Danio rerio: one gene and its partner. The protein of the gene in region 1 purifies or fractionates together with the protein of each later gene. This does not show direct contact. Links are inferred from orthologs where the notes say so. Each region holds a gene or a part of one and is shown on either strand. Other genes may lie near its edges.

Region 1 (3,904 bases):
AGGAATCTATCTCTTAATATACACAACTAGACGAAATCCTCTTGACGTGATTGACCACAGTGGCAGTGTCTTTGAAGGCTAGCGGATTCCCTGCATTTCTCTGTGTTTTGGCGAGTGGATCATCTTCTCCTCCTCTCCGAGTGTCTGTATGCGCTTGTTCATCAGCTGGTGTCTCTTCTCAAGGATGTGCTCCTGAGGTTTCATGATCAGTCTGCCGTTCTCCTTCCCGTCTCCTGCAAAGTGAACCCTCTTTTTCCCTGGAGAGATGTTCTCTTCATTCTCTGTTGAAACGCAAAATGAGAATTTTCATTCGTTTTCGAAAAACCACATATAGTTAATTGTTTCCCTCTCATTATAATATCTGTGGCTCAAACAATGATGACTCAAGGGGCTACTTAAATTTCAGCTGAGTCATGTTTTTAGTGGTTATTGCACACTGCCTTTCCACTGCACACTTCACTCCTTAGCTCCCTTTTAGCATTTGCTTATTTTATTAGGCGCTCATTTATCATACTATATATTATTGCTCCCAAATAGTTGTTCAAATCAATGGAGAATGGTCAGTTTAATGCATCCTTGAACAACTAAAACAGAAATGTCTGATAAGAATTTATTTCTGTTCTTGTTATCTAATCTTTCGAATGAACCTTTAGTGTCCTTAAAAACAACAACAACAACAACAACCATTTCTGAAGGATCATGTGATGATAAAGACAGAAGTAATGATGCTGAAATAAAACGTTCACAAATCACATGAATAAGAAAATGACATTGAATATTTCAAATGGAAAACAGCTACTTTAAACACTTATATTTCATGATGTTTATTGTATTTTTGTAGCCTTGGTCTTTGTAGATCATATACTTCATCTAAAAATCTCTATTACAAACTAACCAGTAGTGTACATAATAAAAATATCAGCCATTTATACATTAACAGAAAGCTGTGCAGTGAAGGAAACCAGTGAGATGCATAAACAACACAAAAGATTAATACCTGTGTCGCTGGCGCTGAGCAGAGATAGCGCCCTCTGCTGTCGGATCAGATTAAACGCCTTCAACATGCTCTCGGCTCTGTCGTACACACACATACCCATAATAATGAATTTATCAACACCGTATACACGTGTAGTAGTATTCAAGGTTTTTGATGCTCACTACTAATGTTAGCTACTAATATCTATTACACTCACATGATCAAATTAGCAAAAGCTAGCTTTATATTATTTACCTGACCAGCTTTTCATTAGTTTGCTGTTCTCGGACACACAGTTCTTGTTCCCTTTCTGCAAAAAATAAAAAAATAATTAAAAAAATAATAAAAACAAGGTAAACCATTAGACACCAAAAGCATAGAATTTCTTAACTAAAGGTTCACCTAAAAACAAACAAAAAAATCCTTTAGACTTTTGTTCTTCAACACTCCAACACAAATAAAGCTATTTTAATGCAATCTGATGTTCAGTCCAACAAAACACCTTACAAAAATATATATGAACCTAATCATTAAATGTGCCGAGAAAGGCTTTTGTATACTGTTTGACAATCTCAACTGAAAAATGAAGAGAAGGTGGGACATAATGGCCAATGGTGTTTTGTTTTGATCACAGCTAATCCAGTGAGAGTGATTAAGCGCATCAAATGAAAAGCAAACGAGAAGCGTCTTGAAGGGGGCAGGCCGGCATGACAGATACTAGAGAGCATTTGATTGGTGAAGATCTGATGAGTAACTGAAGTATGAGGTGACATGATAAAAACGTTGATGCATTTAGGCTGCGGTGACACTTCAAGCTTTGTATGTTTATATCAAATTAACATTTTTAAAGGAAAACTATGTCACTGTTTGGAGAACAATAGCTAATTGATGTCCTTAAAACTAACTAACAACTAAAAAACTTTTTTTGTTTCACAGGACCTTTAAAGTCTCCTGAAGACACACTTGAATAGATTTATTTGGGGATATTAATTCCATTTAAACATCGATGGATTTACTGTAGCACATCAAATATGGTCAAACTCAAATCTGCTCACCTGACAGACAACAAATCTAGACAAATCTAACAAAAGTCTTCAGTTGTGTGAGGAGGATCAAAATTCTTGTGGGTTTGATTAATGAGTGAAATGAAAAAAAGTTAATTAGTGGGTAAATTAGGACAATTAATATTTTTAGATGTAGCATTTGATAACAGCAAGTAAATGATAATGATCCATTTCAAAATGAAAATCTTTAATTTTTCCAAAACCACAGGGCTTTTATTTGTCTTCTGAAAAGAAATTAAGTTACTTATGGATTCTGCCAATTTCCGTTCCTTCATTGAAAGTCCACTGGTAACACTTTATTTTGATGGTTTAATTTATTTTGATGGTCCGGTCTGATTAATATCTGTTGATACTGCTCCTTCAACATAGATTTTACTGACTATATAAGAAACTTTGCTAGTACATGTCAACTTACCCTAACCCCAACCTAACAGTCTACTAGGAATGCACCGATACCATTTTTTGGAAACGATCCGATCCTGATACTAAAACTGAGTATCGATCGATACAGACCCAATCCCGATACTGTGCCGTATTTTTTATGTATTTTTTTAAAACCTAATACAGTTTCTATAGTTCTGGGGCTCAAATAATGTATCTTCCTTAGTAAAAATAACAGACCTGTAAGTCTACTGTATATAGTAGATGGCACAATCTAAAACTTGATGCTGATCTGTTGTGGTCCAGCTTATGTTTCCTTTTTTAATATTAGGCTTTTTCTTTGAAATCTGTACTAGGCTACCATTATTGACCCTGATTGATGGTAAAATAAACTGTCTTTTAGCAAACCCTGATATTTTCCTGCAGGTTTAAAGCAGAATAAACTAAACTGTCTGAGTTTTACTTGGTAAACATTCCTTCGCCTAAACTTGCCACGAGTGAGATGGTAAAAGTATCTCACAAACAAAAATATAGAAACACTGGAGTGTCTTAAAGCCGTAAAGATTAGTCGATTGCCAGTTTGTGTTTGCACTCGGTAAACATCAGTGAACAGCAGTGAACTGATGACCTTTACGGCCAATCACAGTCATTTATGTTGAGCACTAGTGAACACTAATGGCAAATCAGCTGCGTTTAAGAACATTCTAGCACTTCTATTAGCTGGAAATTTAAATCCTTAAAATTTTTTCACTGTCAAAATTCAGTATTGTGATAGGTCTGATACAGTGAAAGAATTAGTTCATCAACTTTATTTTTAGTATCCATTCAGAACAGACCTTCAGGTCACTCGAAAGGGGGTGAAATAATAAATTCGTGTCACTTTCTCTTCGCTCATAAGATTTACAGCCAGCTACACAACATCTCTGTGCAGCTCCAGGCAATACTTTTGGGTTTCTTCCCACCGCAGCCTCGATTTTGCTTTTAAAATGGAGACTGTGTGAAAACAGTCTATGGGCATTTTTTGAAACATTCCTGAAAAGATCTAACAAAGGAAAGTAACAAATGTTGGATTGGAACAAGTGGAGGATGAGTAAATCATAACACAAATAAAATGGTTTGAACTGTCCCTTTAGCTTTCAGAAGGCCAACAACAGTGTGCTTACGCTCTAGCCGCTGCTCTCGCTCTTTGAGGGCCTGCTCTCGCTCTCGGAGAATCTGCTCTTTAAGCCGCAGCTCTGCCAGAAGTGGTGACTCTGGATGTTTGGGCTGCTCTGCCTCATCTGATCTGCGCCGCTGTTTCTCCTGGAGCCTCTTCTGCTCGAGGGCCACGTAACCGGAGATCAAACCATTCTGCAGGATGGACTCCACAGAGGGCCTCAGATAGTCCTGACAAAAAAAAAAAAAGACCACCAGTCAGGATGTGCCCAAACACATTCTGCAATATATAGTAGTCAACATCTGAAGTAAAAATACATGCTAACGA
Region 2 (4,538 bases), on another chromosome or scaffold:
ACTTTTTAAATCGCTTTAGTACAAATTGTGTATAATAGAAATGCAGAATATGTGACTTTTTTTTAAAGCAATAATACATTAATGCAGTCATAAACATGTTTTGACAGTTAATATGCCAGTGATTTGATGCTTCACAAAAGTTGCAGACACCTTTACCAATATGAAAATGCTTTTGTAAACAACCAGTTATTCTTTACACCGATTAAAAAAACTGCTACTATAATAAAGAAAATCTTTTCTAAATGAAGAACTAAATACATTGATTTGCATGGAAATACATGATGAATACTCTTGTCCTGACAAATGAAAGTGTAAAGCAGCTCATAACAAATGTGGAAAGTCCTTGCGTGTCATATTTCACAAACCGTTTACTGCTAATTTGATGTAATTTTGCTCACATGGATAATTGAATATTAATCAGATGATGTCATTACGCTGCTGTGCCGTCAGCCAATCGTTGCATTGCTGATCATGATTTCGAGGATCGATAGATCTGTCCTTCATAACACACGCAGCGATCTCAGATCAGTTCATCCAGACATTCTAATCTGATTCGCGAACTTGTTTGAAGAACCAAATTAGCGAGAGATCAGATATCAAGATTAAAAGATCCAGGATCTGCCAAATCATCTTAGATCATTTAAGCGAGGTACGAAGAACGGACCCCAGGGTGGACATTTCAGCAAGACAATGATCCAAAACACAGCTGAGAAACTCTCAAATGCTTTCAGAGAAAGAAAATCAAGCTGTAGAATGGCCCAGCCAATCACCTGACTTGAATCCGATAGAAAATACAGAAAAAAGGTCAGATTTGACAATCGAGACCCACAGAACCATCAAGAATTTCACACTCTGTTGAAGTCTGTGAGAAAACTCACACCTGAGCAATGCATGCGACTTTATTTTCCATATGAGAGACGTCTTTAAGCTGCCATCACTAAAACATCTTTATATAAAGCATTAAATACATTTCAGTAGTTCAGCACTTTCTCCTTGTGTCATTTCATTGTTATTACAGATAACTCATTTATCAGATTGTTTTGTTTAATTTTTATGTTTGTATTATTTGGGTTATAATCAAAATCTACTTCAATTCCATGTCAACAGCTCCTTTAGAAATATTATTACTAGGAAAAAAACAGGATGTGTTCAATGCTTATTTTCCCCAACTGTATATTCATTTTTGTTTCCTTTTTTAATAAAGCTATCAAAATGTGGATTAAACAATACCTACCCTTGTTTTAGGACAACTTGGATTAACTTTGCTGATCTGCTTCAAATGTTGACTATAGTTCCAATAAGAAAATTTTATTATATATTTAAAACATTTTCCAAGTGATGTTTAACAGAGCAAGAACTTTCCATCTGAAGAAAGTCGTATTCCTTTTAGTTCGGCTGGATTGAAAATACACATCTTTTCTTAATGTAAAAACTTTAGCCACATTACAAAACTAAAATTTGATTGTCTACAGCAGGGGTCACCAATCTCGGTCCTGGAGGGCCGGTGTCCCTGCAGGGTCTAGCTCCAACTTCCTCAACACACCTGCCTGGATGATTCAAGTATACCTAGTAAGACCTTGATTAGCTTGTTCAGGTGTGTTTGATTAGGGTTGGAGGTAAAATCTGCAGGACACCGGCCCTCCAGGAACAAGTTTGGTGACCACTGGTCTACAGAATAAACCATGGTTATCCAGTGATTTGCCTAGTTAACCTAATTAACGCAGTTAAGCCTTTAAATTGCAGTTTAAGCTGAATAATACTGTTACAAAATAACTACTAAAATAATATGCAGTCATCACAACAAAAACAAAAAAATTAGCTATTAAAACTATTATGATAGGGGAAAAAAAGTTTTAAAAAGATTTTTACCCCGTTTAACAACACTTGATTGGAAAATTATTCATTTCGTAGGTGGGATAATATATTTTATACAACTGTACATATATAATCATTATTACAATACATTACAAAAAATATACTGCCAAATATTCATGCCTGCACAGCCTGTCTGCTCAAATATCTGTCACATATATGTCTGTCATATATTAGGGTTACTTTTGTCAATCTATCAGACTGATGTAAAGTTTATACTCGCACATTTGTTCAGTTCAGAAGATTTTGAACACGGTCCCTATATCAGAGATGCCCAAACTAGGGCCCGCAGGCAAAAGGTGGCCCCCCATCCATTTATAGAAGAGAGGCAGTTTTTTTGGGGGTAGTTTGTTTTAATGTTAAACTACAAAACAGCAAACTGAAACTAAATGTTTCAACCAAATGTTGTAAATGAATCTGATTTAAAAAGATATACTGTCACTGATGGATAGAAGACAATGCAAAGACATCAGTAACAATGATGTACTGATAGACATTGGCAGCTAATGTAATTTCCCTTTTGAGAATTACCAAAGAATACTTTTCTGAAAATTATATTGAAATGGTAAAAGTCTGAATATAAACCCTAATTTAGCTCAATATCTGTCAGTATGTACTTGCACATCAACTGTTCACGCAATTTCATAAGTAACGTTAAAAAATACGACATTAAGAGACAATTCAATTCATTATCGTTCGCCAAATAACGTTAGCAGATATATTTATGATGTGCGATTAACCCTTTCAATAAATCAGTAAGTAAAAACATAGATAACACTGTACATGAGCTCTTTTTCTGATGATAATTATATGTAAAACTTCATGATAAACCCGGTCTGTCATGCTGTCAGCATTAGCCGCGGCGCTACAGCTAAGTTAGCAACATCCGCTCCGATATTCACCTGATAATAACAAATAGTCGATCTTCCAGTCCTGGAGTGCGGTCCTTCCCTTTAACAGATGCTTCTCCCTCTGCAATCTCCTGCTCACTTGGAGAAACGTACAAACTCATCAAAGTATGCGGTGAAAAGCAAACCGAGCACACTATTCTGTTTCAAATGAACGCGGACATGTTGTTATCCCGTGACGCACGTCCGGGTGTCTGACCAATCGGAGAGCTGCGTCCAGGAAGCGCGTGAAAGCAGGCAGGTTTTACGCGGGGTTTTTTTGGGGTTATTTTATATTCTAAATATTTTGTTGATATTTGATATTCATAAATGTACATGTTTCAAGATTTCCCCAAAAATTCAAAAAATTGTGATATATTTGAAGACAATAAGAGAGATAAAAGATAATTAATTTGTGGGCTTCAACTGCCCTGCTACTTATTTTGCTTTGTTTATTATTTATTTTATTTGTTCATTTTTGTTATTGTATTTATTTATATATGTTGTATTATTATTTGGGACAACACAGTGGCTCAGTGTCACCTCACGGCAAGAAGGTCGCTGGTTCAAGCTTCGGCTGGGTCAGTTGGCATTTATATGTGGAGTTTGCATGTTCTCCTCATGTTGGCGTGGGTTTCCTCCGGGTGCTCTGGTTTCCCCACCGTCCAAACACATGCACTATAGGGGAATTACCAACTTACGTCACAAGGGTTTAACCGCGCATAGTGGTTGCAAAAAAGGACCAGCTGCAATAGCAAACATGTCGATTTGTGCAATAGGATACCAAATTTGTAAGTCCAAAAATAGAAAACGTAACTTTTACTGTACACCACACTGCTTTTAACCGCAGATGTTATTGGCTAACAGCCATTATAAGAGCTGAATGGAGTGAGGACCTAATTAAAAATGCGTGACTCTGCAGTTCTCATTTCCTATCAGGTAAGTTCACGCTATTATGAATTATACACATTACTCGTTTTTGATTGCAGCAATGATTTCAGCAAAATCGGTTATATATGGTGAATTTAACTGCGGACATTGAATGCTTAGAATGAAATGTAAACATGTGCATTCACATACTCTGCCGTACAGGTGAAGTTCGCTGTCAGAATGCAGTAGTTTTGCTTGTTGATGATTACCCAGGCCCTGTACAGCTCCGTCTTCTTTCCTTGTCTTTGGCTAGGCAGAACCTCGGTTTTTAGCACTACATAGTTTTGAATCTGGTAATCATGGATCATTATTTCTAGCACATGACCACACAGAACAACGTTGTAGGCATCCAAAGACTTGTAGGCCTTTACCTTTAACTCTCTTGTAAAATCACCTGGGGCCTCATGTATCAACGCTGCGTACGCACAAAAACTTTGCGTACGCCAGGTTTCACGCTCAGAATCGCTCACGTTTGGATTTACTAACAATGAACTGAACGTGGGAATGTGCGCAGCTTCACGGCAGCTTTCTGGCTGGCGTACGCACATTTTTTGTGCGTGTCTGTTTTATTTCCATTGGCGACTCCTAGAGGCAGTTGTGTTAAATTCTTCTCTACAAAGTGTCTAAGCCTTGCAATGGGAGCTGTATGAGACGGGTTCAGCAGGTATATAAGGTTTCCATACCATACAGTTGACCAGCCAAACATTAAAGCACAATTTGCAGCAGTCGCCTGTTTTCCCAATGTAATCTGAGCGATCTACTGCACGCACATTGCTATAAAGACACTATCTGAAGATGAATTTGCATGCGTGAATCAGAAACATTTCCATTCAATAAATGTGCAAATAA

What was found.
Region 2: the proteins of nek2 (region 1) and anapc1 purify together in Homo sapiens (affinity purification with mass spectrometry; 3 studies listed by BioGRID and IntAct, with this or other methods). This does not show direct contact. The link is inferred for Danio rerio from reciprocal best matches to the Homo sapiens genes NEK2 and ANAPC1.

What each region holds. Positions count from the first base shown.
Region 1 is NC_133195.1:15,127,482-15,131,385, reverse strand, and holds part of nek2 (serine/threonine-protein kinase Nek2), read right to left. Parts: intron 3,808-3,904; coding exon 3,585-3,807; intron 1,287-3,584; coding exon 1,232-1,286; intron 1,075-1,231; coding exon 998-1,074; intron 282-997; coding exon 79-281; 3' UTR 1-78. UniProt on the Homo sapiens protein: Protein kinase which is involved in the control of centrosome separation and bipolar spindle formation in mitotic cells and chromatin condensation in meiotic cells.
Region 2 is NC_133188.1:50,698,423-50,702,960, reverse strand, and holds the start of anapc1 (anaphase-promoting complex subunit 1), read right to left. Parts: upstream 2,958-4,538; 5' UTR 2,775-2,957; intron 1-2,774. UniProt on the Homo sapiens protein: Component of the anaphase promoting complex/cyclosome (APC/C), a cell cycle-regulated E3 ubiquitin ligase that controls progression through mitosis and the G1 phase of the cell cycle.